3 linked regions of the Caenorhabditis elegans genome follow. The protein of the gene in region 2 interacts with the protein of the main gene of each other region in a pairwise test. Each region holds a gene or a part of one and is shown on either strand. Other genes may lie near its edges.

Region 1 (10,802 bases), on a different chromosome or scaffold from region 2:
GTCATTAGATATTTGGTTACTAAGGGTTTCAAGTTGTTTATTGAACCATTAATCCCGCCCACACTACTGTAACACTTTTTCGTTATCACGAGAAACGATAGAAACCTCCAAGATTCTTTACACTTTCCATCAAACCGTTTTTTTCCAGTAATTTCCCCCATTTCTTGATCATTATCGGCAGAGGGGTCGGAAAAGTGACAGTGATGTAAATGAAAGGGGAAACAATTGCCATCTTCCTCCTCTTTCATCTATTTTAGGGGGTTTACTTAATATTTAGAAGAGAAAATCATGAACATAAAACACAGGAGGACAACAACTTTGTTCCAACACATCTGAAAGCCCATGGGAAAGGAAAAGAAGTAGAAGCAACGGTGATGACGAAGATGAAATTATTTTCTTCGCGTCTATCCTAGGGCCCGCCGCCGTCGCCGTCGCCCAGTGTGTAAAAAGGACATTGAGGGAGAAAAAGAGGGCGGAGCACACTTTGAAGAATGCCTCACATGGTGGTACCACACATTCAAAAGATGAATTGCTAAGAAACACTTCCGATTGAGTTTAGATTCTGTGGAACAAGTCTCAAAGTTTTCAGAAAAAAATGGAACTTCAAAGTTCTGGGGATTTAGAGAACTTTCGCACATTGGCATGTTAATCACTTGAGAAAAAGGATTAATCATAGAACTGAACTTTTCTGGATTTTTGTCACGATAGACATTGGAGATGAACAGAAGATGAATTTCAAGAAATTGTGAGAAAAAATTATGGATATCGAATAAAATGTCAGTTTTTTATTCGATTTTGAAAGTTTGAAACTGCAGTAATCTTTAAATGCACACACTTTTTGTATTTAACAAAATATTATCGTGTCGAGACCGGATACCGTATATGTGGCGCTGGGTTATGTAATGCTAGAAATAATATTTAGAAAAACAAAAACTCTACAAATATTTTGAGATCAGAATTCCATTAGAATATAAATAAAAATCTATTGTCAAAATTGTTTCAAAGAAAATTTGCAAAATGCACGATCTAGGTTATACATTTTGAGTGAGCAGGAACCCAGGTTTAAGATCAGAAAGATTATGACGCGGGTGGGTAGGTTCTGGATATTCAGATTCAGATCCAAATCTTGAAGAACGCCGCGCTGATTCATTGAGCTCCAGATATTTGTTTTTCTGACCTCCCTCAACCCAAAGATTTTCGAACAGAAGTCTGTCTATTTGTCCCTGTCAATCAATCATTTGTTTCTGTTATCTCTTCCGTCCTTTCTATTTCATTTTCATCCTATTTTTTGTCCTTTTTCTTTTGGTTTTCGTCGTCTTCTTACTTTCGCGAACTCGGTGGTGGCGCCGGCGCGACTAGGAGGACCGCCCGGAGCACATAGGCTCACGTCTTCTTAGCAGCTTTCGACTCACACGCACACACATAAGCAAAAAGAGCAAGTGCTGGGAAGAGGTGTCGGATTTTGATGAGCAACTTCCGATAAAGTGCATTTGAACTTTTTCTCAGAGAAATGATTAAAATACGCGATTAATGAGAAAAAATAGAGAAAATGAATGCACTTTAGGAGAGGATATCTAAGAAAAGTTTCAGAAATAGAAAAAGCACTTAAAAATCTCAAAACTTAAACTTTCTGCTGTTGGAAATTAATCAGTACATGCTAACTGGGTGGCGGTAAATTTTCGGAAACAAAAATGCTGCTCCTAAAATGCCAAAACGAGAAGAAAACTCTTGATAACATGAATTATTTGGATGCCAAATAATTAGTTTGAATTCGATAAGAAGATGGACCTACAGTAAGACACTGGTGGCCAATTTGTGTAAAAGCAGAACGTTTCGAAAAAAGGAGTAATTCTTGTTACACAGAAAATGCCTGCCTCCAGGCTTTGAAAATTAAATTAAAAAGGACACAATTCGATTGTGGCCGACTGAGACTCACCAGACAACTGCGATTCGATGATAATGCTCGTAGAGGACACCGACTGCTTTTGGTGAAAGGTTTTTCGAGCATTTGGAGAGCAATTCATCGATTTTCTGAAAACACTTTCATGGGAATTGATACATTAGTTATTTACCAATTGCGAATGTTCGTTAAAAAACTACTGTACCTGGTCTCAACAGGACAATTTTTGTTGAATGCCAAAAGGTCTGTGCCTTTAGAGAGTACTGTAATTTCCAACTTTTCGAACCTGTTGAATTTTCATTGCTTCGTAAAACATTTTTCTTTGAAATTTAATTATTTTGGAAATTAATTTAGTTTATTCGGAAATTACAGTACTCTTTGATGGCGCACGCCCCTTTGCATTAAAAAAACTTCGCAGTGAGACCAGATACAGTATTTTTAATGCCAAAATCACAAATTTTGAGTAAAATCTCACCTGAACAATTTCTATCACAGTTGTCTCATTTTTCGCATCAAACCCATAGCGTAGACGAAACTTAAATGGATTTGCAATTGTTTGATTTCCAGATGATTTTTCCGAAAATAAAGTCACTGCTGAATTGATCGGTTCATCATTTATCCATTTGAACAATATATTCCATTCTGCAGAAGCATTCTGAAAAAAAGTAGAAAGAATACAGTAACCTCTCCCGTTTTTTTTCTTCGAAAGACAATCATGGGAGACGAAAAGACGAAAAATGTTCCAAACAGTCTACACGCACTTAATCCTACTTTTCGCACTTTTTTCGTTGTCAAATCTTCTTTTGGAAAGAATTACCTTATTAGTTTCTTGTTCAAATCGTTCGAAACTCTTCTGCCAATTCGAAATTGTATAAAGTGTTCCAATACTTTCTGAAAAAGTAGAACAATTTATAGAATATTCAAATATTTAACTCTCACCAATGTCCTCACTGAACTGCTTCAGATTTTGGTTGACTATCTTCCAATTAGTAGAAAAATTGAAAATCTCGAACTCAATGAATATGTCGTCTTGCTTCGAACTATAAGAGCACAATTATATTTTTATACTAAAAATTAGACCATACTCTGTATGAAGTGTTTCTCTTTTAACTGGAATAAACAGCAATCCAATTGATATCACAATTAGAAGAATCGCAGGAATGCATAAAATCACACCGAGCTGGAAAAAATACATTCAAAAGATTTCGCAATTAAGAAAACCTACTGTTCTCAATTTCAGAATCCTAAGATATAATCCAATGATCTTTTCCCGGAATATTCTGGATGCTTGATGTGGATACTTCTGTAATTAATTTAACTACGAGAATGAATATGTTTCTTGTACAATGGTTTACCATGAAATTCGAAACATCGTAGGTACCGGGTGAAAGATCTTGGAGACAAGGTTTTTGATTTCTGATGATGCTTGATTTTTTGACAATATTAGCTTTGCTGAAAATATTAAAAATTTAGATTTTTTCGGTAATTTCATGGCAATTCTGATCACTCACTCTGTGTTAGAAACCGGTTTATTACCAGCAAACAGTTTTTCAAGGGAGCTTCCAGTAATACTTTCAGCCTGTTCTTCATTTTCCAGTCGTTGCTTTGCTTGCATTGCTTCACGCTCTAAAAATAGCATTTTCAGTTTTAAAATCTCGAACCTTAATTTTTAAATACCTTTCCAAAACATATTCTTAGCAAAAAGCTCTTCACCAGCAGCCAAACAAAATGATGGTAGAACAGAAACACAAATCTTGTCAAAATTAGAATCAATGAAATACCAATAGACGAAAACGATTGGAAATATCAGAATTGATGTGCAACCCCAATTCTTCGGGAACCTTTCAAATAATTCATTTGAATATGAGTCTTGGGCTGCTTGATACTTTGTTACAGTACTAAGGAAGTATTGTATTTGACGAGAATCAGTCATTGTGTCAACTGAAATTAGATATCAAATTTTAAATTTAAAAAAATACAAAAAAATTTTAAGGCATACCTGTAATAAGAGAAGCAAAATTTGAGTTTATGGGAAACCGTTTTTCTCGTTGAATACATCGGGATAGTCGTTCAGTACAGAATGAAGAACGAGTTGTGAAGTAGAGATTAGCCAATGTAAGGACAATTATATACTTCTGAAATATATCTTTATACATTTAACTATTATTTCATTTATAAGCTTACTATTAATTCCGTATCCAAAACGATAACTCCATCGGTACTGCAGACAAAACAGAAAAGTAAACACGTGAGAGCATCTCGAACAAAAAACATGAAAGCTGATCTGAGAGGAGCACCAGACCATACGAAGATTGTGAATAAGATCACAATTAATGAATGTACATTAACCACAAAATGTATTGTTTGTTTCTCCGAAAATGATTGAAGTTTCGTAGTTACAGTATTATCCAAAACTCGTGATGTAACTCTTATCATTTTGCTCATTCTATTCTCTTTGAACTTCTCAGTTTCTTCTTTCAAGGCTAATCGGAATTCATGAATAAGTTCTTCAGCTTTTTCAATAGTCCAAATTGATTCAAAACCATTCACAAAGTCTGAATGTTGCATAGCTGATAAGAGCATTTCAGGAGTTAACAGGACAATTTCCGTTTGCATTGTATCAAATTGAGATTTTGTACTACTGAAGCTTCTCGATCCGTCGAAAAATTCAATTCCAGTGCTATTCAAATCATGAAAAATCTTATCGCATGTTTGATTTACAACATTTGGATAATCTGGCTTTTCAGTTACATGAGAATACATTTTTCTGATCTCCAACTCCTGCATCCATTCAATGAACTGTTCTTGATCATCCACACAATCGAGATTCATTGCGAATTCTTCATCGACATCTTCTAATTTGAACTGCAATTTTTCTTTTTTTTTTCAGTAATTGCGTGGTTATGCATATATTAATACCTTTGTCTTCTTTTCAGCGAAATTATCAACAGACTGCATATCTGTACATATATTGAAGTAGTGTTCAGAGTCCAGAGGTGTGTCACAGGAATGAATTGAAGCTGCACATGTTTTTTGGCGTGGTTCTATGCTCTGAAGATTTTGTTGGTTGTTGAAAAAAGAAGATTATAATTAAATGTATTCCTACCAAAAGCCAAAGCTTAATCTTCTGAAATAATGCATCTTTAGTTGAGTTGGTGAATGACTTCGATGGTAAATCAAACATGTGATCGGCCCAACTTTTGATCAGGCTAGGTCCATCTAAATACATATTTATTTGTTTTTTTTTTAACATATTTTTATTTTGATTTATTACAATTTGATTTCACATACGGCCTCTCATCATTTTCTCCAATAGCTTCAATATAAGAATTTCTAAGTCTTCGATTCAAAAAGTCGGTATTCTTATTCCAATTACTGATTTCACCATGAATACGGTAGATATCATAGAAACAGTTTAGAGGTGTCACGATAAGACATGGTGACAGACGTTGCATTTCAAGAAGAAGCCTCTGAAATTACTATTTTAATGAAATTTTAATTTTCTAAAAGTCAAGAAAACCTGGATATAATGTGGATATTCGTTTTGATCGGATGAAGAGGATTGTTGGAATATTGTAATATGTGGTTTAAAGCAGACATCATTGAGTGTGTATGTTCTAAAATATGTTGGACGTTTTATGGAAGAGTACGAATGAAATAAACTCACTTTTGGCGAAATTTAATTTTCAAATTTGAAATGTTGTTCAGTAAGTATCCATGTTGAGTGAAATGTAACGTTGATCGCATATCTACTCCATTCTCCTGGGTTTGAGCGATTTTCTAGAAAATTTATATTTATATAGTTTGAAAATTTAAAAACATTTGTTTGTTCACAAAATCATGTCATACTTAGCTTAAAGTTAAAAATATTTAGACCTTGTCATCTAATTCAAATAGCCATTTTAAAATTTTAAAAACTTTCAGTATCTGAATTCCAAATTGAAAAGGTTATACCTCGATAATGTATTCTTCATTGTTCGTACGAGTTTCGAAGAATCCCTGGCTGACAAACGATGGAAATATTGATTTTTCTTGATAATCAATTGATTTTCCAAAACATTCCGCTAAGAGCAACCCGAATGTTACAAAGGTGACAATCACCACCGAAACGAGAAGTTTATTGTATTTCAATTTCATTGTTCCATTATTATCTGTTAGTAAAATAATATCGTAAATAAAAATATTACTCAAAATAATTTGTAGGGTTAGAGAACCTATCATTGGAGTGAAAGATAGAGGAAAACGAAAATTTCAAAAAAACTTAATCTTCAATAAATTTATCAGAAAACAAAAATAAAACAACCGCGTAAAAAAAAGAGAAAACACAAAAAGGCTCCAATTATTCCTAAAATTCCAAGATTGTTAATCATCGGTCCATTCTTCGTCTTCTCCATCTTCTACTACCTCGTTTTGAACTTTGCCTGAAAATCGTTGATTTATAAAGAAACACGAGAAATTAAAAAAAAAACAACACTAATGAAAACAACTAACCTTTAGCAGGTACCTTCTGATCCTTAGCAACAATGCAATTGGTGACGTCAGCATTCTCTCCGATTTCTACTCCATCACAAATAATAGAGTTGCTTATGGAGGCACTGGAATGGAAAAGTATAAATTCAAGTTTTAATTCAAGAAATCAGTAATTGTGATAACAGAAGAATTCTTAAATCGAAAGTTTTCATATGTTTGTCTATTTATTAAGAAAATATCTTTTCCGAAAGCTCATCCGAAACTTCTCGCGCTACGAAAATCCCAAAACTAACCCATTTCCAATGACAACGCCTTTGGCAATGATACTCTCTTTTAGCTTTGTTTTTTCACCAATCCGACAATTATCCGAGATGAAAGACCGTTTGATAACTGAATCCTTGTCAATCTGAATGGAAATGTTCCCTAACTATTTTTGAACAAGTATTACCTCTGCGCTTTCTTCGATCCGACTCTCGTGGGCAGCAATTTTATCAGTTTTGTAGTTGAAATTCTTCCCATTTCCGCGATATTCCATCAATCGAGTAAAAGATTTTTGAATCTAAAAAAACAATTTAAAGGCTATATGATAATGCATTATTAGCACTTACAGCTTTATTCACTTCGAAATAAGAGCCAAGAGTATTCGCATGTGCAGTTACAAATCCATTTTCATGAGGAAGACGATATGCAAAGCATTTGATATCAGAATCCGGTTCAAATTGTTTATCAATCAGAAGAGGCACAAAATCGGCTTTGAATGATGAAATGTGTCTAGAAATTATACATTTAGAGTAAAACACATTCAAAGAAACACTTACTTTGATTTTGACAGATTAAGAAGAACTTTATGACGTATAGCATAAACATGACAATCATTGTACTTTGAAGTTAATTTGATCGATGGGAATATTTTCAAACTTTTCTCCATAACCAATGGAGCATCAAAATCATCATCTCCGCAAAGGAATGCAAGTTGACCTGTCGATTCTACTATTGCCATTACATCGGTGGCTGTAAATTAATATTTTGATAAATTAGAGGAAGGTTGAAATAAATAATACCTTTAGGTTTTTTCGATTTTGATCCCGGAGCCGGAGCATTGACACACGTATCTGCAATAAGAGCGACAAGCGTGGAATTTGTAGCTCGGAAGAAATCAACAAGTGGAATGAGACTGGCATCGCTGATAAAATCACAGGAAACAATCAATGCATCTTTCTGTAAAAATTAGAATTATTAAGGTAACTTCTTTTTCAGCTGATTGACTTACCGTAATTTTAGAATGATGATTCTTCAATAGATCCGCGGTTCCAAAATCCTCTTGATTGACACAAATATATTCAATATGTGCTGGATACTTTTCTAATAGCTTCGACTTTTTTACTTCTTTTTCGAGAGTTAGTTGAAGAACTTCACGAACAAATATCTTGATATCTTAAAAGTTTAATTACTCAATCATATTTAACGATAAAAAATCAATGTTACCAGTAATTCCTGTTCTTAGAAGCGAGGAAAGTGGATAAAGGAACATTGGCACTCCGACAACAGGCAGTAGGCATTTTTGAACATGGCGTGTAAGGACAGGCATGCGTGTGCCACCTCCAGAACACAAAAGTATCCCTTGCATTTCGTGCATTTTTATCTGAAATTGTTATTTGAACGAAAAAAATATGTTTAAAATGTTAGGAAAAAAAAGAGAAAGCTTGCAACTCTGCTGGAATTGTTTTTTTGTTTAAAAAATAACTGTTGTATATTTACGGGCTAAACAACACGCGCATGCGTTATTACGGAGTGTCGTTAGCCAGATTTGTTGTATACTGTCGTTAGCAAGATTTGTTGTATATTATAAATTCTGCAGAATTCTGGAGGAAAGAAACGATAAGATGTGTATTTAGATCGGAAAGGAATTTATTTGAAGAAATATTGTTTATTAGAATGACAAATCGTAATTGAGTATCAATTAATTGAGCTCATTCTATTGTTTCTTTGGTCTCGACACGATTCCCGTGGTATCGACAAGTACAGTAGTGTTCTGTAAATATTAAAATGAAGAATGAAGTCAAGGGTGTTTTAAAATGAACCTCGTTGATGTTCAAAGAAGAACAAGAAGATCGGATTGTATCTTTTGTCACATCGAGTTTCGACTTCTTATTGTCATCAATGCGATAGTATCCGTAGATCTAAAAAATATAACTGGACGCTTGGAATCAGTGGGTCAACGTACTTTGTCGGTGGGTAGAATTTTCAGAACACGACGAGTTTCCCTGACCAGGTCTCCGAGCGTTCCTTCCCTAACGAACTCCATTGGCATTCCTCCATCGTCGTCATCACACTGGCCAATCTAAAATTTCCTTCCCTATTTTCAGATTCACTAAACTTTAATATTTTTCAGGGCCGCGCGCACGCAGCCCCGATACGCAAAAATTAAGCTGTTGGCGAATCTCAACTCGAGACTGCCACACAGGTCAGCCCGCCCAAAAGTGCAATGGGTAGGCCTCACCATGGGGATCCCGTCTTCATGATCACGAGATACCCCCAGCCAGGTAAGTTTATGAGCTATAGTGAAGGGGGGCCTATGCTTATTTGTGTTCGGACATCTCGCGGGTTTCGCAGCTGCCCATCTTTCTCGTGCAAGTAGGCGGGGTTGTGGCAGAGAACGAGACGACCACCCTAGTAAATACGAGAAATATATTTACTTGCCTTGAGTGAAAACTTTTGACCATTCATTGTGTTTAGATCTCCATGGATTATGTTCTGAAAAATTGTAACTTTGTCTAAATTAATTCCCCTATAACCACGATGCGAGATTTTTGCGCTAAAGTATAGTACCCGGTCTTGACACGACAAGTTTCTGTGGATACTGTAATTTCAAACTTCTGTTTTTGCGGAGTTTTTAATTGATTTATTGATTCCATAGTTTTCTCTCACTATTCGTTAAAATTTATGTGTTTTAATTAATATCATATTTGTTTTTTAAAATAACATTAATACCGTTATCAAAAAACTATGACAAAGACGTCTTTAAAGACCGGTAAGAAAAATAATTCGAAAGTTTAAGACTACAGTACTCTTCAAAAACGCACGGCTTTTTCCATTAACGGAAAAGCCATTCTACAAAATTCATCGTGCCAAGACCGTGCACCGTATGTTTGGCGCAAAATTTCTCGTCCAGCTCCAGTACACCTACCGTTACAATGTCATCCTTCAAAGTTTGCATCGAAAATTTTGCCTGAAGAGTGAACTTGGAGAAAAACGCCTTCTTCTCTGGAAACTGAGCATCCAACGCCAAAACGCTTTCACATCGATACGGAATTGCACATGTTTTAACAGGACAAGCCGGTGACTTTCCATTTTTCTCACATTCGTCAAGCATTGATCCGATGCATTTAATACATACATCATGGTCACACTCCAATTCAGAAGGGAAGTTTCGAAGAACTTCACCCTCACAGTGTAGTGATCCCATACATGGTTGTCGGGTCTGAACTAATTGACGTGTGTAATTAAATGAGCCGAAAAACTATACCGCATCTGCCGACTTTCTCCTTTTCGCTGACTCTTTGTTGACACACTTGCCGAGTTCACAAAAATCCCGTCCATTCGTCCATTTCGGACCACACACATCACACATTCTTGCCTGGAAATGTTTTGATTTTATTCCTTATAATTAAGAATTAAAATTACCCCGCAACATGGAATGACGATTGTCTTATCAAATACGAGTGCCTTCTTGCATGGTCCTTCACATATCATGTCTTCTTCATCGATCATCAATTCAGCACAACCAAGAGCAGGGCAACAAGATTTCTCTCTGAAAGTGGAAATTGAATTATGAAGCTTTTAACATTCAAATTTCTAACTTTCTGCTTGCCAAATCATAACAGTGCTGACATATGTCGTGATGGCATGCTGTTCTCAGAATTTCAGCATTTCCCATGATCTTTCGCTGGCAGTTTTCTCCCTGCAAAACTCAATTTTCCATAGTTTTTCATATTATTAACCCGCAAAATTTTCGATTTTTGTGCTAAAAATTACGGTAGCCGGTCTCGACACGATTAATTTTGTTAAATGCAATTCAAAAGGGTGTGCGCCTTTAAAGAGTAATTTTAAACTTTCGTTTCTTGGGAATTTTGATCAATTTTTCATAGTTTTTCTCACAATTTGAATCCATTTTTTATCGGAAACAATTGAAAAATATTTCGATTCAAATTCCGTGGCAACGAGAGTTCACAAGACTACAGTACCCTTCAAAGACGCGCACCAACTTGAAATTAACGAAATTGCCGTTTCGAGACCGTATCTTTGGCGGAAAAGTCATAAAAGTTCGAATCTTTGTAATTACTAACTTCGCAAGTGCTTGTCATTGGTTCAGGAGCTGTAAGACTCGAGTAACAATGTGCAACTGGACAGACACGCATCTTTTTGGTTGATT
Region 2 (11,198 bases):
CCCTATTCAATCACGGGTTTTAATCATGTTTGCTTTTTTCATAGATTGTTCAATTTTTCATAGAATTCATTTATTTCTCACATTTTATCCGCTGGTTTGTTGTACTCATTTTCCTCATCATTTCCAATAAAAAGAAACGGTCGATATCATGTTTGGTGAGCATTTCAGAAAGCTGCCAGTTTGATTTAATCATTTGTAAATGTTCAGGTAATGAAAAGAGCGAAGAATCCGGAAGTTCTGGGTTTGGTTTAGCTGAAGTTAAAAAGGTTTTCCAGTGGATTCTCGGATGCACTTATGCGAAGAAAACATTCAAAACTAGGTCAGTTTTCGTGATCTGCGATTAAAATATTACCTAGATGCCAAATTTTGCAAATATCATTCCACAAAAACGGTACTCGGTCTCGACACGACCACATTTATGTTTGAGGCAAAATAATGTGCACCTTTAAAGATTACTGTAATTTCCGATCTTCGTTGCTGCGTCTTTTATTAATTTTTCATATGCAATTAGACGAATAATTACAGTACTCTTATCTTTAAAGGCACACTCCTCTTGAACTTACTGTTGTTAGCAAAATTTTGTCGCGTCGAGACCGGCTACCGTACTTTTGTGGAAAATCCGAAAATTTCTGTAATATCTCTGTATTATTTTGAATTGCTTTTTGAGAACTGATCCGTATTTTGAATCTTTACAGAATTTCTGAAATGTTTCATTTTGCTGATGCTCCGCACATTGTCGTGTATGAGCGAAGTGAGGAGCGACCATGGTATTCGATGGTTGGAATGTGAGTTATTACATGATCAATCAATTATCCATTCTTGAAAATTTTCAGAATAATTGCAGTTCTCATTGTAGTTATGAGTCTCTATTACACACTTGAAGCTGGATACCGTTCAATTCGAAAACTCATGCTTTCAATGCTCCAAGATCCGCAACAGAGTACTGTATCCACTCCAAGATGTCTATCACCAACAAACATGGGATCCAAGAAATCTTCGCCTCAAACTCCAAAAACTCCGGATGTGATTCGTCAAAAAGTTCCGATGAATGAGCCAGTCAATTGTGTGTTCATTCGACCAGTTATTCCAAAAACTATTCCAGAGGGTACTGTAGCCGTGCCGAATTTGAATTCGGAAGAAGATATTTTATTGGATAGAGATCATTGTATTGGAGAGAAAGGAAAAAAGATAAATGGAAGTTTAGAAAAAGACAAAAAAGTGAAAGAAAGTGGAAAGGAAAAAATTAAAAAAGAAACTAAAAAGAGTCCACAGACAATGACACTTGATGAAGTTCAATTTGATGCTTCTTCCAATTTTAATATTCGACCGTAAGTTTGTCTTTTTCAACAGGCTTTATGTATTGTATATTTTAATATGTTTTAGTTTCAAATAATCCTTGAAATTCTCAACTTCAGAACCATGGCACCATCTCCAAATGTCCACACTGACAGTACTCAACCATCGAATCGTAAATCAACTGGATCTGATGATTCGAATATTGCAAATGCTCCAAACTCTTCACACTCGGAATGTGATCAAATTAATGAACGGGTTTTGAAACAGGTATTCACAATATTTTAAATTATAAATACATTTCTGAGTTTAAATTTAGATTGCTGGATGCAGAAATCTTGATGAAGATAGAACGGATGCTGGTGCATGTGATGCCATTTCTCCGCAAGACTCTGGAATGGATCTTCACGGTATTTCGAATGATTTTTTTGGGAAAATTCAAGATGTTCGTTATTCATTTTCACTTTTTGATGCAGAGACGTGATTTTTTAGATTATCCAAGCCCAACTTGGAGATTCTAATATTTTGGAAGCCACTTCCGATGAGAATCTTTCGGAAATGTCAATGGTTACAGAAAGTCTCATGTCTAGTTTAGCTGAAATTGAACCATCGTTTATTGAGACTGATGTTCAAGAAGCCTCGGAAACATCATCTCACTGTGAGCCAAACCTAGGAGCAAAGCAGACTGTTGGAAATGAGCAAGATGCTGATATTGTTATTGATGGTCAGTTCTTTTTTTCACCATAGAACGGTTTAGACAATTTGCTTTTGATTCATTGTCTTTTTTCCAGATTCACATTTATTTGCTGAATCTGAAAATGAATGCAGTGGAAGCATCCTTGTCAAAGGTGGACAACAGAAGGTGTTGTTCCGTTGGACAGACGAAAAACCGACTACTGTAGATTCCGTTACATTGACTGGTTCATTTTTTGGTTGGAATATGAACATTCCGATGAAAAGAAATGAATTGAAGATGTTCGAAGTTTGTATTGAATTGCCGGATGGAATGCATGATTACCTCATTAATGTCTACCGTTTTGATTAGTCCAATTTTTGTAATAAATGTTTTGTAAAAAATTTTAGTTTTCAAAAATGTTATTTACTTGAATAATACTTCATGACCCGGATGGATCATTTCCTTTGCATGTTGATGATTTCTCTTGAAAAAAGCAATTTCCAATTTATCATGCAATAAAAACATAATCTCGAATAATACTATAAAACTGGCTATTTTCAAATTTCCAAATTATTTCGAAATCATGGAGAGGCGATGGGACGGCGTCTGGTGAGCTTCATGTGGATTGGAGTGACCGGGCGAACGATGATCTCCATTTTTGGACGGACCTGAACAATTTTAGTTAAAATTTAATTTTTACATGTTATATTTTCAAAGTACCGTCGATTGGGGAATCCCCAATGGGGATAAAAAAGGCTAATTAAGCTTTTTTTATCCAAAAAATTGAAAACTATTGTAATTTATCTATTTCTTCGCTAGAATTTTCTCATTTTGCAATTAACAATTTCTTTCAAAAAAAAAACGTAATATGAAAAAGTTTACTTTTGTTGTGACTGAAAAAAATTTTACATTAGAAGAAACATTTTTTAAATTCAAAATAAAAAGTAAAACTTTCTATATTCTATTTTCAATAGTGCCTATTTATGAGAGCAATTTAAAATTGCAAAATGAAACATTTCAGCGAGAAAATAGACATCGCGATAATTTTCAATATATTGGATACAGCTTAAATTGCTTAATCATACAAAAAATGCAAGTCTCCCCAATCAGCGGCGCTTTCAATTTTCACCTCGTGCATCAACTCGACAGCTTTTATATTGAAATTTCTCAACAAATGAGCCATGATGACCTTCTCTTCCATAAGTGCAAAACGTTGACCGATGCAATTACGGCTTCCAGCTGAGAATGGGATAAAGGCGAATGATTTTCGACCAATTGAGTTTTCAGGATGGAAACGATCCGGATCGAAAACATCAGGATCCTTCCATTGAGCAGGATCGCGGTGAACAAGGTACAGGTTGAGCAGAAAAGTGACTCCTTTTGGAATATTAAAGCCTCCAATTACTTGATCATCACTCAGTTCTCTCGTAATAATTAAAACAGATGGAAAGAGACGCAGAGCTTCTTTCAATGCACATTCAAGATATTTCATTCTGGAGAGATGTTCAATAGTCACATCTTCATCGTCGCCCATTACTTCATCCAGTTCCGCTTGAACTTTTCTCTGAACGTCGGGATGATTTCCCAGAAGATGAACTGCCCACATTAATCCTGTAGATGTTGTATCGTGACCCTCTAACATGAATGTGTTACCTTCTGCTTGAACATCTGTTTCGTCCATTTGTCCACTGTTTACCATTTCGAGAAGAAGATCCAGGAATGCGAGACGACCTTCCATCTTATAATCATTCTCCTGTAGTGCTTATTTTCTCTCGCCAATCAATTTCTTCGTAAAATCATGGAAAATATGAAGACATTTTTCATGCGTCCGTCCGTCCTCTGTTCTAAAAATACAAATTAATTGACCTTATTAATGATAAAACTACCGTACAAATTGTAAATAAATGAATTCCACATCAAAGGATTATTTGTTCGCTTTGAAATCAGTTTATTGATTGTGTGCACTGCCCATACATACTCGTTATTCTGAAAAAGTATTTAGAAATGTTGAGATTAGAGTTGTTTTCCCAAACCTCAGCGAGTTGAGCGCCGATAGCTATTCCCATGGAAGTTTCGCAGATGATATCAAGAGTACAAAGGGCGATAACGGAGAGAACATCAACTCTTTCACTGAAAATAAACATTTGAAATAAGTAATTATAAATTGAAATTCTCACTCTGCACCAAGGCAACACAATTTCTGAACCAAAATCTTCAATAAAAGAAAATCAAAAAAAGACGCCATTGTTCTTTCTGGCTCGTCAAAATACTGATTCCAAGCCATGGTTCAAGCAAAACGTATGCGAACCCTGTTCAGATGTTTCGTCGACGAGAAAATTGCTTCAACAAGGTCGCCAGAGTAGAGCATCAGGCATGGGAATGGACCAATCCACAGAAGACACATTCGTGGATCTGGATATAAATATCCCATTCCAATCACTTGGTTCATGAATCCCTCTGGATCTGGCTTGGTGATGAGTCCGTGACCGATGATTGGGTATGATCGTGGCTGATTGAGATGCTGAAAATTTATTGAAGTTATTCATAAATTTATTTTGAAATCAAACCTTCAAAGCTTGACGCATTCTCAAGTGTTTGTAGAGCAGCCAAGCGATCACCGTCGCCGAAGCCAGAAGTACAGCGAGGATGATAACCCCCATGCATATGATGAATAAAAAAATATTAAATAAAATAAATGTTTATTTTCATAAAAACTGGACAAATTTCATATATGGACTTATCGGAACAAAAAGAAAGAAATAATAATAAACCAAAAAATTTGAAAATCTATGATAAAACCTTTCAGATAACTTCTCCACAGTCGGTGATGACGCAAGCCTTGGAACCCTTCGTGTTTGATTTATTGAAGGCGATGCGGGAGACAACTTCGGTTCCAGCCAAAACTTTACCAAATGCCACGGTTTTTCCATTCATCGATTCATATGGAAGAATCGAGATGTTGAACAACGAGCTGTTATTGTCTTCTTTCAATCAATTTTCCTGAAAAAAAAAGCTGATTTCAGATGCGGATATTCATGAAATAAAAAAGCAGATGAATAAAAATAAATAAATTCCCATTTCAGTCTCTCAATTTAGAAATGCTGAAAAACTGACCATCGGCAATATTCCCGGATTTTGATGCATTTCAAGATACTTTTCATTTTTGAAATTCTTTTCGGCAAAAAACGTATGGGTCAAACATTAGCCAAATAAATATTCTGAAAAGTTAGTTTTTGATAGCATCTTTTAAGCTGGATTTTGTCAATTTATAAAACTTTTAGATGCCTAAACATCACTTACAAGATTGAAAGCCCAATGAAAAAAACTAATGTTCAAATGAGTTAGCAATGGAGCGCGTTTACGTTCTTTGCGCGAGCTTCGAATTTTTCTGCTTTTATTTTCAGAAAAAAACACTTTCTGAAGTTTTTCAGTTTTCCTTCAATTTGTTATATCTGGTTTCATGCATTTTTTAATCGTAAGAAAATTTCATATTCATTTTAGTTTATCGAAATAAGAATTACTGTTTTAAAAATTAAACAGAATTGAGAAAACCACAAACTAAGCGCCCTGTGTTATTTTTTAACCAAAATTTCTCAGATTTTAAAAGATATTCTGAATTGATGCGAAGTAATCGTGTTTCTCTAAATTATATTCTCAGTTATTCTAAAAATTCCCCTCCTCTTCTCACATGCTCTTTTCCTAATTCTCAATGCAATTTTTCACAATTTATATTATATTCACAACCAAAACTATATTACTAATCGAAAATTGCAGACGCTGTCCGAACAGTTGTAGGAGTGGTGTCGGGCGACGTCAACGTCTCGAAACAGAACCAGGACTGCGAACGCGGAGAATTTTGTCTGCACTCTCTCCGAAGAGAGTGCAGAGAAAACCAGAAACGGGTAGTAGACCACCCAGTCGGTTAACTACGGTGGATTGGAAGAAGTGACCAGCAAGAAATTTCAATGTAAAAATAAGAGAGATTTCCATTTATTTCAATTGTAACTGTAATGGAGGTGGATCCGGGTTCAGATGATGTAGAAGCTGACAGAGAAACGAGAGCTCAGAAACTAAAATTAAAGTAAGTTAAATTTTTTAATGTTTTTTTTTGTTGAAATTGTTTTAAATTCTTTAATTCACATCCAGTCAAACTAAAATGATCAAAAACTAGGTTTTCAGAAGAAATGTCAAATTCCGTGCACAAATGAGAAGATTCGACGAGTACTGTGGAGTGACTAATTTAACAGTAGATGATCTCAATTGGCCTTTAATATCTGGAATTCCTTTACAAAGACAACGATTGACAGGAGCTACGTATTATGATGATAGTCTTCTCGATCAAAATCCTTGGGATGAATTTTCAATTGATCGATTTCTTGAAATTACTTCAATTCAATTAATAACAGCCGGTGCTGGATATGAAAGGAATGATGAAATTACTCGATTCGTTTTTCAAAGAACAATGAAGACAATTGTAACTTATTGCAATTTTATGTATGATTTGGCAAGGCGGAACGGGAAAGTGTGAGGCGAATCTGAAATTTTATAAAATAAAATTTTAATTTTCAGTCAAATAACTCGATTCGAGTTGCAAGATTTGATTCATCGCGATGAATTTCGGTTTTACATGTATTTTCGACAATTTTTAGTGAGTTTCCTTGTTTTATCATAAATTAAAACAAGCTCTACTTACCCGATTTTTTTTTCGATTTTTGAACCAAAAAAGGGATATCCGACTCGACACGACAATTTTTAGTTAAATAAAAACGGGTGTGTGCCTTTAATAAGTACTGTAATTTTAAACTTTCGTCGCTGCGGAATTTTCTTAGTTTTTCGGAAAATTGTTTTAATTAAAAAACTAAAATTACGCAATTACCAAAAAAAAACAGGGATTTTAAGAAATCAGGAAAACATGTAAAAACCGGTGAAAATTTAACAAAAACAAAATCTTGAAATTCCAGTACTCTTCAACGGCGCATTTCCGTTTGTATTTTACTTTTTTTAAAATCCTAATTCCAGCCCAATCCGGATCCGAATTGTACGGCCTTTTCCAATCACTACACGTCTCTTCTTCATACACTCTATTTCAATATTCCGGGAATGCCACAGTTTTGGAACAATTCCCAAATGTATAATTACGCTGCTACCCGTGGTCAACGCCTTGTTCAAAATATCGCCGCTTTTTATCCACCCGAATATTTTTGGAACGAAGATGAATCCAAGTATCATACTACGTTTGTGGTTCCACGTGGCACAGAGTTCTCAAAGTTTTATGCTCGAAGATTTCATGAAGCACTTGGAATGCCACCACTGGAAAATGAGATTATTACGGTTTTGGATTGGCTTGCGAAGCTCTGCATTTTGGAAGTAAGCATTTTAAAAATGTTATTTATGTACTCATATATTAATTTAAAGCTTTTAAGCGTTAAAAACTATTTTACATTTGTAGATTGTATATCACACAACGATTTGGTGCGACATAACTGGATTTGGAGGGCTTCCACGTATTGAGCACTATCGTTTAGCCATGGAGAATGTTGGTAGGAATTTATTGTTAAAATAATTTAAAAGTATATACATGACATGTTTTTCAAAATATAAAACACAATTTTTTTAAAGCGAAACTTTAAAAAATCATCAAAAGTCGAATAGCGTAAAGGGAATTTTTGTTTTCATAGTCGCAAATTTCTAAATTCTACAACAGAAAGACAAAAAATCGACATAAAAAATCCATCGTTTGAAAACATGCTTTTTCGATTTTGGCATTTTTTTGTATTGAATTCAAACCCGGATGTTAGCAAAAATTTTTAAAAAATCACGTTTTCGGTATTACTAAATTCTCCACATTTAAAAAGAGTCCATTCTGAAACTTTTTCGATTAAAAAATTTCTTTCACAACTATGTTTTGTTCTAATTTCAGAAGACATCATATTCGACTTGGCAATTGATGATTTCTCAATTTCCCGTCTACAGTTACAAATTTCGCCGTTTGAAATCTCTCGCTACTCACCTCTAGATGTATCTGGTTATTATGAAACAATTAAAAGAAAAAAAGATATTGAAGAATATCAAAATCGTTTCTATGAAGTTCATTATTCTGATGATGTTCGGATTATGAATGTTTATGCTACTGATTGCTCCAGGAAACGATGATATCAATTGTTATAATGATTTGCTTTTAATTTTAATATTATTTCATTTGAAAGTCTAACTCTCTATATTTTACCCAGATTTCCTATTTAATATCACCGATTTGCCTTCTATCTCACTAACGCTTCTTGTGTCATTCACTTTCGAATCCTCTGGTTTACATTTTGAAAAATGTCATAATGGTACACTGCTAAAAAAAGCTGGTTCCATATCACTTTAATTTGTTTTAAGATTTGTTTAATTTAAAATAAAGGTATAGATAATATCGATTAAGCTGCTTACAATTGGTTAGACGCTACGCAAGTGCGCTCTGGTAGACAAACAATAGCATCTGTTGAGTGCGCAGTTGGTTTACACTCATTCAAATGTGTACGGGTGTGGCATTCGAAACATTTCGAATGAAACACTAAGAGTTCCAGTTGCTTTTACGAGTTTTTGTGTAATTTTCAGTTGATTTAACGTTTATTGCTCATTGCTAGAAGCCGAACTACAAAAAACCCACTATTTGGCAATTAGTCTACTACGACTCAATTGGTAAAATATTTCGAAAGTTATATTTTTCCAATATAACCATCAATTTCATAATGTAGCATCTTTCCTTCAATTTTTAATATTTTTTTGTCATTCTGAATAAAAAAGTACAAAAGTCATGCTGAAAAGGATACATATCGATACAATTCCACATGAATATAATTTGAATTTCTATTCAACTGATATACATTACACATATTCGCGTGTGCTAGAAAACTCGTATTTTCCCATTCGATACATCATCTGCCAACTTTCTTAACAATCCCAAGATCGTCACCCTTTCCTCCACAGCACCAGTCCCGCCTTTTTAACAACGATCTGTTTTTAATGGATGCTCGATCTATATGCATTAATTCATTCTATCATTCATTTACCGAGATGGTCATAACATATTTCATTTATTTATGGTTTTTTTTGCTTTTCCAATGTATTATAGTTATATGAAATTCTCTGTAGTTCTAAAGTAAGTCGCATTTTACCAATCTTTTGTATATATTTTTAAAGCTTTGCTAAACTAAGAAAAATTATACAGGCTAGATTTTTCTAAACTTTATAATTTACAATCTTTAAATTTTGATGTCCAAGTTCCTCTTGATAAGAATCGAGCACTTTATAAAGAAACTACGAATTTAATAATCAATCTTCAACAACTCCCCCAAATTGGTAATTTCTGTGTTTTATTTTTTGATGTCACCTACCTATTCTAATTAAAATAATACTATCTCTGCCAATTTGATAAACGACCTTTCCCATCTTCTCCGAAGTTCCAAGTAGCCATCTCCAGATACTCCATCCACCTAGTCTATCGATTGAAAAGTCTTCACTTCCAAACGCTGCGTTTACCTATTTCCCCATTCTCAGAGAATATCCCACACAGAGTCAATCATTCATTCCGCCGACTTGGTCTCTTTTCCATTTCATTATTTTAATTTATGTACAACAATAGTCAATTGACTATATTAGTTCTCTTATTGCCATTTGCTCACCCTCTTTCAATGTTACATCTCAGCTTTCTACATTCATTGCCTTCAATCAATTATTTATGAATCAAATTTCAGAGAACTTCTATCAAAATGGCTCGTGCTATTGCTATCGATGCTCCACTTTCCGCTGGAATCAGAAGAACAAAGAAAAGTCCAATCAAAAGAGCATCAGTTGGTGGAGTTAAAAAGAGATTCTCCACTGGAACTGCTGGACCATCAAGAAGACCAACTGCGCAACCAAGACGCCAAAGTGGAGGAATCAGAACAGTTGACAGATCTATTCCAGCAAATGGTAAGTTATAAATGCCATTTTGCTCTTAAGTTATGGTTAACATTTCCAGAAAACCGTGAAGTACGTATCAACTTGTCAAACTTGGCCCACACCGTTCACTCCGGGGACCTTCGTCAACTCTTCGCTGAATTCAAAATTCGAAACGTCTCCGTGAACTTCAACGAGCACGGAAAACCAGTAGGAACCGGAGATGTGACTCTCCCAAAACGTCACGCTGATCGTCTCATCCAAAAGTTTGCCGGAGTCTCACTCGACGGAAAGGAGATCAAATTCGCTATCATTGATTCAGCAAATATTGCAAACCGTGTCAAGTTCCCAGAAGCTCCAAGAAGAGCTCCATCAAATGGAAGACCAGCTCAAAGAGCACCAAAAAGGCAGAATGTTAAATCAGGAAAACCAACAGGAGGGGCTGGAGCTCAAAAGAAATTGAAGGCCAAGAAGCCAAAGAGAGAAGCTCAACCAAAGAAGACACTCGAAGAGTTGGATGCGGAGCTCGATGTGTATATGTCAAAAGCCTAATAATTTAATTTAATCCAAATTTTACTTGTTTGTTCTCATGTTTTCATAACTTATAATTTTGTACCTAATAAAAACATCAAAAGCTAGAACACCCGTGTTTCGTGTATTTAAAAAGAAATCATATTGAACGGCGAACAAACGGTAAAGCTAAAATCTCCTCGTAAACAAAGTAATTTCATTATTATATTTGTTCAAAATTATTTTTAAAAAACATTAAAATGAATCAAACCAAAAAAGGAGGTGTCGATAGAAATATATTAGTTCCCATATCATCCCTTCGTCAGTCAAATGGAAATGCCCATTTCAATCGTTTTTAGGCGGTACGTGATCAAACACACACTGAAAAGAAGTGCCAATTAGGGATGCGAACGTTCATTTATTTATCTCTTTTGTCATTTGATGGTGCCCATAAAACTGTTTTCTTTCCGTTTCAAATGTGATTATTATGCTTCTTCTTCATTGCTTACTCTTGTTCTTTCATTTAAAAACTACAAATTTATAGTGAAATCATTCAAATTGTTTGCAAAAACAGAGCTCTGTCTCTCTATTTTTTCTTTGCAAATTTATTTTCATCATCCTGTTCCACTCTTTCTTCGTTTCCGCCGAGAAATCCACTTGACCCATAATCAATCATCAAAATACACTCGAGCGATCCTTTTTTTTGAGTTTTGATGAGATTTTGAACTTTCTTGAAATGGTTTTTATTTTTCTACTTTAGCATGTGTACTGTTCACATTAGATTTGGAGTAGCGAC
Region 3 (11,110 bases), on a different chromosome or scaffold from region 2:
GGTTCGTGCAAATTGCAGTGGGTCAAGGGAGTCTTCTTGATTTTTGAGTTCGGTTTGACCAAAAACAGACGCACCCGATGAATCAGTTAAAGCTGAGTTTTGATTGATTGAAGTTTGAGGAGGATTTAGATGGGGGGAGACGTACCCAAATTTTGTATAAAATCGAGTATTTCTATATAATATTCGAATCCCGAATACTCAAAAAAAAACAAAAAAGTTTGTCAGTTGGTAGAATTGAACCAACTACCAAAATATCCGCAGACATACGCACTAACCACCCGGCCATGCGGGAGAAATCTCAAACTGGAAGTAAGGAAGGTAAATTTCTGGAGGGAGTCGTCTTTCGATTCCGCTTTCTTCAATTATAACTATTTGGGGAAAGACGTTCGAAAACCGTTTATCACTGATAAGTCAGCGGAAAACCTAATTTTTGAAAATTTTATTACAGCATTGTACTCATTATTGATTTCCCAAAAAGGAGACGTACAGTTGAGGGCTATATCTTGTACACAGACAGATGTATAGAAAAAAACAAGTTTTGGCCTGAAAATTAATAAAATGAATATCTCTTGGCAGAGTATTTCTAATGCGACGAAACTTCATCTTCCATTAAATAAAATCAAAAACTATGAATCAAAAATACATTCCGCAAAACTTTAGTGGAAAAAATGTTCAGGAGACCCAGGAAACCACTCCCCCCAGTACTAAATTTTTGAATTATTTTTTTCTTGAAAAATTTTCCCACTGAACTTTTTACAAATTTTATATGTCTCGATGCGTCTTGATGAGACCTACACGTCATTTTTTAGAAAACTAAGAAAAATTGAAAACTGACCGAGTTATGATTGAAAAAGTAGATTCGCAAAAATGGCAAAGTGTGCAAAATTTGGCACTTATTCGTCTTGCTCGGCCGACTCATAGAACTTTTTCCAATTCTGAGTTAAAAATCGTGTTCAGCGTACTTTTGTACGTGGGGTAAACAAAAAAAATATCAAAAAAGATGAAGTAGAACTTGAGATAAAGACGAAAAACTACTTTTTCGGAAAAAAATTTTTTTTTGGCAAAATGTCATTTTTTGGCCATTTGTTTTATCACAACTTTTTTCCATTTGCACTTATAATCTCAAACTTTTTTTCAAAAAATCCACCTCTCTGAGTAGTATCTTGCACATAAATTTGGAACAAAACCGAGCAAAACCCGAATTTTAATTCAATTAAAACATGGTTTTTTGGGGGTAAAAAGAACAACAAAAATTTTTTTCAAACTGGGGAAAGCCGCCCTGAGCTCAGTTTTGCTCCAAACTTTGTGCAGTTTTTTGCTCCACCGTGGGGCAAAATATTTCTAGTAAGCTGTCAAATATTATAAAATTCAGTCAAACGGCTCTGGAGTTATTAATGAAAACGTAGTGTGACATTTTTTCGCAAGCCAAAAAAAACGCGAAAAAACGCGAAAAAGGGGCGGAGTCTGTACACTCGGCATTTATTAGAGGCTGCTTGGCAGAATTTCTAAACAAAAACCTTTAAAAAATCAATATTACATTCCAACTAACCCGTATCTTGTGATTCATTGAGGCTTCGGTCTGCTTCTCCCTCTCAATTCTAGCCAAACATGTTTTCATAGCCTTGCATTCAGCGAATATACTTTTCATAGTGTCTTTCATGGCGAATCTTGCGTAGGATTCGAACGTGTCGAATATATTCTCCCCAACACGGATCTGGAAAGCTACAAAAAATTCGAAGACAAAAAACTATTTTTTTCTTTTAATTCGACACTTAACTGATGAAGGAGGGCGTTGTCAGAGTCCCATTTCGGTTTGATCTACGCAGATCTACAAAAATGCGGGAGTTGAGACGCAGAGTTCTAAAATGATTTCGCATGGTCAGGAACGTGCTGACGTCACATTTTTCTGGGCGAAAAATTCCCGCATTTTTTGTAGATCAAACCGTAATGGGACAGCCTGGCACCATGTGTGGTAGGCTTGGTGTAGGCATAGCATTAAAATCATAAAAAATCATCTCACCTCGGTAATCTCATCCAAGTCATTGTAGTCGAACTCTACACCCATAAATTTGCACAAATGCTTCTTGGTAACCGAATTTTGGAGCAAACGATACTCTCGCCGTCCCAGAATACTTGTAACCAATCCCATCGCAGAAAATCGAGTGAAAATGAGAAAAAAAAAGTGAAGTCGACCAAATTTTATATGCGCCTCTAATTGTTTTTCTCAGAATTTGGCAGGGGGTGTCGTATATGAATTTGGATACTGTACAAAATTGGGTGAAAAATTATAAATATGCCGTTTTTGTGCATCTTCTAATTGTTATTGTCTACATGACTAGAAATTGTGATGAATAGAAAAAAAAGGGAACAATTTAATAATAATTCAGATTTTTAAAGGGTTATATGTATATCTTCCTAATAGTAAGTTCATTTTAATATATCATTTTTATAAATTAAAGTTATTCGACGCAAAAAACGGCGAAAATCGAGGCTTAAACTGCAAAAACAATTATTCGAAATGCTCTGTGACGTCACAAAATTTCAAAAAATATTTTCACGCTTTTCTGGCGCAGTAGAGCGATGGGACAGTCTGGCGCCACATGTCGGTGAACATTGGGTTACTGTAGCTCCAAAAGTATGTAAGTACTGTGGCAACACCAAATTTGACGACAAAATGCTGAAAATTTGTAAAATCACCAATGACGCTAAATTAGAATTTCGTATCGAAAATTTAAAAAAAATCAAATTTTGTAAAATTCCACCATAAAAAAAAATTAAATTCAAAATTTTTTGGACCAAATCTTTTTTCCTTAAAACGCGCCCAAACCTGGCTAAACTGCAATTATCAGTAGAGCGCGTTTACACTGATGTACCCTTTGCCGGGCCGTGTTTCAGCTAAATTCTGCTTTCTTTGTTAATAGAGCGCATTTGCTGTAAGCGGGAAATTTGAAATTCCCTCTTGAAAATATGACTTTTTTAATCATTTTTTCGCGGTGTTTTCGAGCTTTTCTTTCGAAAAATCCCGGATTTTCAATTGAAAAGGAGATTTTCTACTGAAAATGACTGGTATACTCCGATTTTTTACATTTTTCACGAGTTGAAAAGTTTACAGTCATTTATGAAAATTCAGTGTTCAAAAAGTGTCTCAAAAACCTATTCAGCTACTCAATATCCCAGTAATTCCACGTCATTATACAATTTATATCATAAAATAAATTCAAATCAAATATATGTTCAAGTGGAGGAGGAGAAGGAAAGTACTCGGATTTTTGGTGGGATGCCAACTGGTTGGAAACGTATGTAAATGTGAAATGCTACAGGAACACCGAGAACAAAATATGTGTGTGGGTCACGGAAAGCTGCTAGATAACGGGGAGAAATGACGACGATATGGTGAATAGGAGAGAGAAAATTGGAATACCCAAAAAACAAATAGACACAGGAAAACAGGGGAAAATTTGATAAAATCGACCGAAAATTAGGAAAAAAAACGACAAAAATTTGAGAAAATCAACCGAAGTTTAGCAAGAATTTTCCCAATTTTCAGGCAAAATTTCCACCGAAAAGCAGTTATTCCTCATCAGTGACATCGGAATCTTCATCGTCTGATTCATGTTTCATAAGCTTCCACACATCCTGCGGTGGACGCAAAAAGCCAATCACAACAGACACGTTGTCGGCACTTCCAGCCTCAATCGCTTTTGTACAGATGAAACGGGAGAGCTCCGCGTAGTCTGAAAAAATTTTTTTTCGATTTTTAAAGAATTTTCTACATTAAAAAATAAAGTAACGTCGGCTAATGTTTTTTACCTTAAAAATAATTTTGAATGGTTTTTTTAAAAATTGATTTTTTCAAATTTTAGTAAATTACCCGATTTTCTTTTTTAAAAATACAATAATTCGAAAATCTTTACTTTTTTTTTTGAAAACCCCCGAAAAATAGCCAATCTTCTGATTTTTTTTCAGAAAAAAAAAACGAAAAAATAGTTTTTGGCTTTGGAAATTTAGTTTTTCTCCAAGAATTTTTATTAACCTTCAACAGGATAATCATTCGCAAATGCCTCCACCAACTGGTACAGGTCACGCTCGTTGAAAACATCAGAAATTCCATCACAAGCCAGGAGCACCAGATAATCCGAGCTTTCAATAGGCACCTGACACGTTTCCGGTTCATTAGAGATCATCGGCCGTCCAGGAACATCTCCGAGTGCTCGGGTGAGATTTAGAACTCCGTTCACCCGCAATTCGCCTCCAATCACAAAAAGCTGGCCGCCAGCTTCCTCAACACGCCGAGCTTCCCGTTCATCGGATGGCGAGTGTCCACGTGTCAACTGACGGAATTCAATGTTCGACATGACGTATCCGGGTGAGTCACCGAGCCACGCCAGCGCCATAAGCTTCTGATCCATGTCGATTGCACAGCAGACAGCTGTACTTCCACCCTTCCAACACTCTTTCACACTTCTGACAGTCATTCGTTCGTCGAGAAGCTCCAGCGACTTGCGAAGCTGATCTTCGAGGCTATCTGAAGGATCTCGCGATTTTCGAACCTCCAACCATGTCTCCCAAAGGTGCCCGGCTGCGTACTGAGAGCACTCGTGACCACCGTGACCATCGAACACCGCTAACACCGAAATTGGATCCTAAAAATTTCATTTTTCAGTAATTTTCCAGGCCTAAAATCCTCCTAAACCTCTCCACGATCCATATATTGCCCATTAGGATACGCCAAAAACCGATCTTCTTGCTTGTGACGTTGCCCTTTCAGTTGATCGCCCGACACGTGGATTCCAGACCACTTTTCAGACAGAATCGGGCACGTTTCGGCGTTTTGCTGGAGAATCTTGTCGATCGCCGGCCAAATTTTGTCGTTGAATAGCTTTTTGGCTTCTGAAAATAAGTTGTATTGATGAACAGAAGTGTTGAGTTTTTGAAGATTTTTTAAAAATTCTATTTAACAAGTTTTATTTTTGCAAAAATTAGCAGATCAATGGGGAATGGCCAGCTAAAAATATTTAGCAGACCAATGAGGATAGGTCTGCTAAATATTTAGCAGACTCATGGTAGGTATGCTAAATATTTAGCAGACCCATAGGTGGTCTGCTAAATAATTAGCAGACCCATAGTTGGTCTGCTAAATAATTAGCAGACCAATGGGGATGGGTCTGCTAAATATTTAGCAGACCCAAGTTAGGTATGCTAAATATTTAGCAGACCAATGGGGATAGGCCTGCTGAATATTTAGCAGGCCCATGCTTGGTCTGCTAAATTAATAGCAGATTTTGCACATTTAATAATTACCTGTGGTACTATCGGTAACATAAATATCAGGATTATACTGAACATCTCTGAACGCAACTTCACTGAATTTCTCGTCAATTTCTGTGGCGATCAAGTGAGACACCCAGTGACAAAAGTCGACCGCCTGGCCTCTTTTCATCATTTTCTGGAAAATGTCGTGAATCGCGTCTCCGAAAACATCATGAACTGGTCCGGCGATTGGTGGATGACGGAAACGTATTGGAATATGCGGTTGTGGAGTGTCGGCAACCTCGACGTCATAGCTAGTTTTCTCCATTTCATCTGCAAATGCCTCCTCCAGAAGTGACCGGACACTTCGACGGCGATCGCCGATGTGATCCTGGAATATACATTTTTCTAACTAGCATTAAATATATAAAATCCCGTTTTCTACCTCGAAAACCGCATCCCGCTCCTCGTTTACTTTTTCCATGTATTTTTCCAGTTTTAAAACCACTACCGGCTTCGGTGGGACAGCTGGGTTGATCTGACATTTCAATAATTGTTTTTAACATAAAAATCAGAGAAAAACCGAGAAAAAACAATGGATTTCAACACAAAATGAGGAAAAATCAACAAAAAAATAATGCAGAATTTTCTGCACCAGAAACGCGCAAAGCTTCTCGTTTGCGCACTTTCGGTGCGTTGGCGCGTTTCTCGCGCGAAATATTAATTTAATTCGCATTGTATTGTATTAATAACATTTTTATCAAATCAAAAATGGATCAAAAATTTAAAATAAAAATCAATTATTCATATATATCCATGCGCGCCAAGATAATCCCACTCCACATTCGGCGTCTGTACTTGGCTGTCCAAAAGATCCCATTCCTTCACTTTCGCCCTCTCCGCCCAATTACATGCTTCATATTTGTGGATATATGTCTCCTTGAAATGCTCCCATAGCTCATTTGCCACGCGATACTGAAACTCCACGTGGCATCGGAATTCAGCGGGGTCGGCTCTAAGCTTGGGTAGCGAGTTGTAAGCTTGAACTGCGGCATTTTTTCTCAACTGGGCGTACTTATCGATTTTCCACGTGGTTAGTAAGAAGAAGTCCTTGTAAAGAATAAGAAGAGTATCGATGATTTCACCGGTTTCCTGGAAAAATCGCAGATTTTTCTTGAGTTAACTCAAACGCCATTGAAGGCCGCCTACCTCATCCTCAGCACCCAAATTCTGAAGTTCCCTGCATTTTCTCCGAATCTCGTACAACGTTTTTTTATACTTGTCGCGAACCTCGTTGTTCTCTACTTCAATGACTCGTTGTCCGGCGGGAAGCTGAATTCATTAATTCAGTTCTTGATAAATGTAATTTTGAAAAAAATATGTTTAAAAAACCTCGGCAACGTCAATTCTACCGTTATTCGAGAGGGTGATCGGTGTGCGCTTGTAGATTTCCTAAAAATTTATAAATTTGAGAAAATCCGTGCCCGTGATTAAGAATATTCTCACCTCAAAAATATCCGGTTTTTTGATAATCTCGTTACTTTTCGAGTAAAGTACACAGGGGCGTTCAACATTTTCCTCCTCGGGATTCACAGAGATTTTGACCTGAAAATTTCTTGAGCTTAGGTATAGGCATACGTTTAGGTATTGTCAAAGGCATAGACTTAGAAATTGGCATAGACTTAGGCGTAGGCTTTGGCTGAGGCCTAGGCTGAGTCTTAGGCTTTGGCTGAGTCTTAGGCTTAGGTGTGAGCTTAGTCTTAGGCTAACCTTTAGGCTTAAGCTTAGGTGTAGGCTTAGGTTTAGGCCTAGGCTTATGCGTAGGCTTAGGCTTGTGTCTCCAGGCATAGGCTTAGGTTTAGACTTAAGCTTAGATTTGTTTTTTTTTTCGAAGGTTTCTCAGCAAAAAAGATTGAAAACATAAGACTCTGAAAAAAAAACGAAAAATATTACCTTTGGGTCCCGTTCAGCAATACGTGGGCTCTCTTTCACCGCAACTGGGCCTGCCAGCTGATAGACGCTGGAAATATTATCTGTAGCTGAATCTACAGTGCACAGGGTTCCAAGACATTGCCCCATTATCGGTTGTGACAGGGAAATAGAGGATTACTTGGCGAAGGCTCAACTTGGTAGGCCGCCTAATTTACAGTACCCCACGACTGCCTTGTTTTCGACTAGTCCGGGTTATTTTTAAATTTTGTTGGAAAAACAACAAGAAAATTGTACAATTTCATGAATTTCGCTGGCCTGGTGAGTACTGTAAATTATGCAAAGTGATGGAAAATAAATATTGAACGAATTTTTTTCGAGCCGGGGAAACTTAGAGAATTAGTTTTCTAGCCTTCAAATCATGTTCCTGGGGTTTTTTTCCAAATTGTTTTTCTCAAAAATTTGTAAGATTAACACTTTTCATTTAAAAGCAATAATGATTTCTGAAAACCTGACACAAAAAGTTTTTGGTAACTGGGAAAAAACATGGGAACGTTGATGATAACAATTTGAGATCCAAAAAGAATTCTCGGGTGTGTGGAGGGGAAAAAAAGAAAAACACTCAAAAATGTCTGCACATTTTGAGTGCAAAAGAGCAAAAAAGCAACAAAAAAATAAAATTTTTAACATGAAATTTAAGAAATCTGCAATTCTCCTTCGACGACATCCTTCAAGCTGAGAATCTCCAATCTTCCGTGTCCCTTCGTCTCATTTCGGACCAAATCGTCCAAAGCTCTGAACGATCCGGGCTCAATGAGCCCAACCATCTCGAGGCTTCCATCCTGCCAATCGTCAACTTCCACGTCACTGAATAGGGTTTTAAGCTTCGTGTGCACGGATTTCGCTTCTTTTGTCGGAATCGCCACACGGATCTTCATCTTGGCTCGTTCGATTTTCAGAGTTTCACGAAGTTTTGGAATTGCGTCGAGAGCCTGCTGCTTTGAGGAACGATTCGGTTTCAGGGAAAAGTGCATTTCTTGTAGAGCTTTATCGATTACTGACGGTGGAACTGGACGCTTCGTTTCAGGATTTACGACCATTGAGGCAATCAGCTGGGATACCTGGAAAATTGAGATTTTTCAGGATTTTTTTGAAGAAAAATTAAAAATTTTCAGGAACTTGTTTGGGAGAAAATTAAGATTTTTTAGGAATTTTTAGAAAAAATTGGGATTTTTCAGGAATTTTTTTGGAGGAAAATTGAAATTTTTTAGGAATTTTTTAGGAATTTTTTAGAGGAAAATTGAGATTTTTCAGGAATTTTTTTGGATGAAAATTCACATTTTTCAAGAATTTTTTTATATAAAAATTGAGATTTTTAAAGGATTTTTTTTTTGGAGGAAAATTAAGATTTATCAGGAATTTTTTTTGAAGGAAAATTGAGATTTTTCAGGAATTTTTTGGATGAAAAATTACATTTTTCAGGAATTTTTTTGACGAAAATTGAGATTTTTCAGGATTTTTTTTGAAGAAAAATTGAGATTTTTCAGGATTTTTTTTGGAGGAAAATTTACATTTTTCAGGAGAAAAAAACTACCTAATTTTTTAAAAATTTAAAGAAAAAAACAGGTTTTTAGCCTGGAATCTAAAATTTTTTCATTTTTTGCTACGTGGCAAGTTGTACCTCTTTCAGCGATTGATCTGAAGCCGCCTGACGCTCTTTTTCCGACACTTGCAAGTCTCCTTTGTCGAGAATCTGAAATTTAGGAAATATTGTCTTTTTCTACCTATTTTGAATAAATTTATTCAACTTTTTAGATGACAAATAACACTAATTACACCAAATTTTAGGCCAAAATGTTTTTTAATCTGAAAAAAAAACTTTAAAATTTCTTTTTTTCCAGAAAATCCAAGTTTTCCTTACAATTTTACAAATTTCCAACTGATCCTCGATTCCAAAAGCGGCGATAAGCTCCTCTTTCTTGGAAAGTTGTCCTTTTGAGACATTTGAGAAGACTGTATGGGTTTGGAGCACCTCGTCAATGTCTTTTTCGCTGAAAATTTTTTTAGATTTTTGGGAAATTGTTTAAATTGATTTTTGATATGGTAAATATTAATTCCAAAAAATAATATTTGAACAAAATTATTCAAAAGGTTAATTTAGAAACAACTGTTTTTTTATTTATCACTGAGAAAATGGTTTGAGAATTAAAATTTTCAGATTTCTATATGATTTTTTTAAAAATTAATATATATTTTACCTCTTATTTCTCCAATTAACAACTTTATTCTTGTAACAAGCGATTTCAAATCGTTTTCCGGTTTTCTTCATTCGAACCACTGCCACATTGGTCAGAACTTTCTGATTTGTCGGCGTTTTGATATTTTTTGACATTTTTTTTCGGCTGAAATTTTAAGAGATTTTGGCATTTTTAATTTTAAAACAAAAGAGACCATTTTGAGATATAAAAATAGATTTGAAACTACTTTTTTTTCAAATGTCGAAAAAAAATTTTAATCTAAATTTTCATTTTAACGGAGAATCTGAATTTTTTTAAACTTTAAAGTCGATAAATCAAATAAAAAAGAGATAAAACCAGTCGTTGAGGTGAGAAGAATGGGTGTTTTTCGGGGTCGTAGCGTCGAAAAAACGAAAAATCGGATTCGAATTTAGTTAAAATTGGGTCTAAATGACTGAAAATTCGGTATATAAGAATAATTGGAAAATTTTCGATAAAATTCAAATTTTCTGAGATTCAAAAAAATTCGAAAAAGCTCACATTAGTTTCAGAAATGAGAATTTTCATGTTTTTTTTCGGAAAAGTAGATATATTTTTCAAAATTTTAAAGAATTTCAGTATATTTGATATTTTCCGAATAATTTTCAAGCCAATTTTCAGTCATTTAAGCCTGGTAGACTAGATTCGATTTGAAAAAAAAAAAAACTAAAAACCCTGAATAAAGCATTGGGGGAAGTGGTGGTGGTGATGACAATCGGGAAATATATACAAAAATAGACAGAAATACGGAAAAATCAGGTCAAATGGAAGAACAAAAAAAGTACAAATTTGTTTGGAAACAGTGGGCGAAAATGCGAAATTTTTCGAAAAATGTGCAAAATTTCGCAATTTCCGGATGGGGACTAATCGGGAAGATTTAAGGCGGGTTTAGGCAAAGTTTTCAATTCGAGCACATATTCGGTCAGGCGGTCTGAGGGCTCCGTTGGGCGCCGAGCCAGGGACCAGTGGAGGCCCAATTTGTGATAAAGGCTAACATTCTCGTGGTCCAGACATTTTTCCAGCGCTAAGACGGTCTGAAAATTGGGGAATTTAAGAGAAAATTTAACTGAAAACTGGGCTGTGTCGATTTACGGGGATTTTATCTAGATTTTTTCAGTTCTTTTGGTTAAAAAAAAAAATTACAGGCTTTTCACGGCACAATTTTTCTAGATTTTTCGAGTTTCTGGCGGTTTCTTTCCACATTTTTAGTGGTTTTCAGTTGGTTTTCTTACCTTAAATCAAAGTGTTTCAAACATTTCAAACTAAACAGTTCATAACTGCCATTGCCTGCTAAATATTTAGCAGACCAACTGTGGGTCTGCTAAATATTTAGCAGACCAACTATGGGTCTGCTAAATATTAAGCAGACCCATTCAAAGTGTCTCAAACCACTTTTCAGATGAATTTTATTGGAAAATCGGCGAAAAAATCCTCGTAAATCAACACGGAGCCGAATTATCTCGCCTAATTTTTCGAATTCTTACCCTCCGATTCAGACATAACACCGGCCACATTGAGCATCCAATTGAGCAACAGCAAAACGCTAATCCACATAAAAGCCAGCGCGATGACGTTTGTACGTGGCGTTTGAGCACAGAATTTACGCGAGACAGTGTCGCCGAGAGTTCTTCTGGAGCAATATATCCGGTTAGTTC

Evidence for each region.
Region 1: the proteins of fem-3 (region 2) and tra-2 interact in binary tests that used the Caenorhabditis elegans proteins (3 or more experiments, as listed by UniProt).
Region 3: the proteins of fem-3 (region 2) and fem-2 interact in a two-hybrid assay, tested with the Caenorhabditis elegans proteins (2 studies listed by BioGRID).

Annotation. Positions count from the first base shown.
Region 1 is NC_003280.10:6,959,637-6,970,438, forward strand, and holds the start of tra-2 (Sex-determining transformer protein 2), read right to left. Parts: upstream 6,038-10,802; coding exon 5,855-6,037; intron 5,681-5,854; coding exon 5,568-5,680; intron 5,518-5,567; coding exon 5,421-5,517; intron 5,371-5,420; coding exon 5,175-5,370; intron 5,120-5,174; coding exon 5,007-5,119; intron 4,952-5,006; coding exon 4,820-4,951; intron 4,766-4,819; coding exon 4,085-4,765; intron 4,036-4,084; coding exon 3,900-4,035; intron 3,842-3,899; coding exon 3,578-3,841; intron 3,527-3,577; coding exon 3,412-3,526; intron 3,353-3,411; coding exon 3,256-3,352; intron 3,204-3,255; coding exon 3,126-3,203; intron 3,081-3,125; coding exon 2,986-3,080; intron 2,941-2,985; coding exon 2,840-2,940; intron 2,792-2,839; coding exon 2,718-2,791; intron 2,556-2,717; coding exon 2,376-2,555; intron 2,032-2,375; coding exon 1,937-2,031; intron 1-1,936. Other genes in the region: eif-2Bgamma (Translation initiation factor eIF2B subunit gamma), read right to left, coding at 6,263-6,321, 6,392-6,495, 6,664-6,776, 6,819-6,929, 6,979-7,141, 7,189-7,381, 7,432-7,588, 7,641-7,804 and 1 more; C15F1.5 (RING-type domain-containing protein), read right to left, coding at 8,346-8,402, 8,452-8,550, 8,595-8,711, 9,071-9,124, 9,558-9,851, 9,897-10,007, 10,055-10,181, 10,231-10,331 and 1 more. UniProt on the Caenorhabditis elegans protein: Plays a major role in controlling sexual cell fates.
Region 2 is NC_003282.8:9,099,223-9,110,420, forward strand, and holds fem-3 (Sex-determination protein fem-3), read left to right. Parts: upstream 1-5,743; 5' UTR 5,744-5,979; coding exon 5,980-6,050; intron 6,051-6,140; exon of another isoform or gene 6,141-6,148; coding exon 6,149-6,493; intron 6,494-6,538; coding exon 6,539-6,617; intron 6,618-6,988; coding exon 6,989-7,336; intron 7,337-7,418; coding exon 7,419-7,509; intron 7,510-7,889; coding exon 7,890-8,122; 3' UTR 8,123-8,385; downstream 8,386-11,198. Other genes in the region: gldi-10 (AMP-activated protein kinase glycogen-binding domain-containing protein), read left to right, coding at 149-155, 208-319, 696-785, 834-1,328, 1,416-1,563, 1,613-1,738, 1,786-2,017, 2,085-2,338; C01F6.14 (Ovule protein), read right to left, coding at 4,675-4,899; aly-1 (Chromatin target of PRMT1 protein C-terminal domain-containing protein), read left to right, coding at 9,724-9,925, 9,975-10,444. UniProt on the Caenorhabditis elegans protein: Required for male development. In XO (male) animals, fem-3 directs male differentiation in all tissues. In XX (hermaphrodite) animals, it specifies the first 80 or so germ cells to be sperm. Negatively regulates male development when bound to tra-2.
Region 3 is NC_003281.10:628,839-639,948, forward strand, and holds fem-2 (Protein phosphatase fem-2), read right to left. Parts: upstream 5,789-11,110; 5' UTR 5,735-5,788; coding exon 5,696-5,734; intron 5,642-5,695; coding exon 5,302-5,641; intron 4,891-5,301; coding exon 4,694-4,890; intron 4,644-4,693; coding exon 4,034-4,643; intron 3,735-4,033; coding exon 3,571-3,734; 3' UTR 3,181-3,570; downstream 1-3,180. Other genes in the region: T19C3.6 (uncharacterized protein), read right to left, coding at 1,550-1,714, 2,021-2,149; eakr-4 (EAK-4 Related), read right to left, coding at 6,055-6,402, 6,460-6,582, 6,643-6,702, 6,757-6,855, 7,204-7,329; sbds-1 (Ribosome maturation protein SBDS), read right to left, coding at 7,875-8,300, 8,861-8,932, 9,101-9,230, 9,438-9,571; tag-266 (Golgin subfamily A member 7/ERF4 domain-containing protein), read right to left, coding at 10,319-10,489, 10,940-11,110. UniProt on the Caenorhabditis elegans protein: Dephosphorylates auto-phosphorylated Ca(2+)/calmodulin-dependent protein kinase unc-43/CAMKII in vitro. Involved in the regulation of sex determination.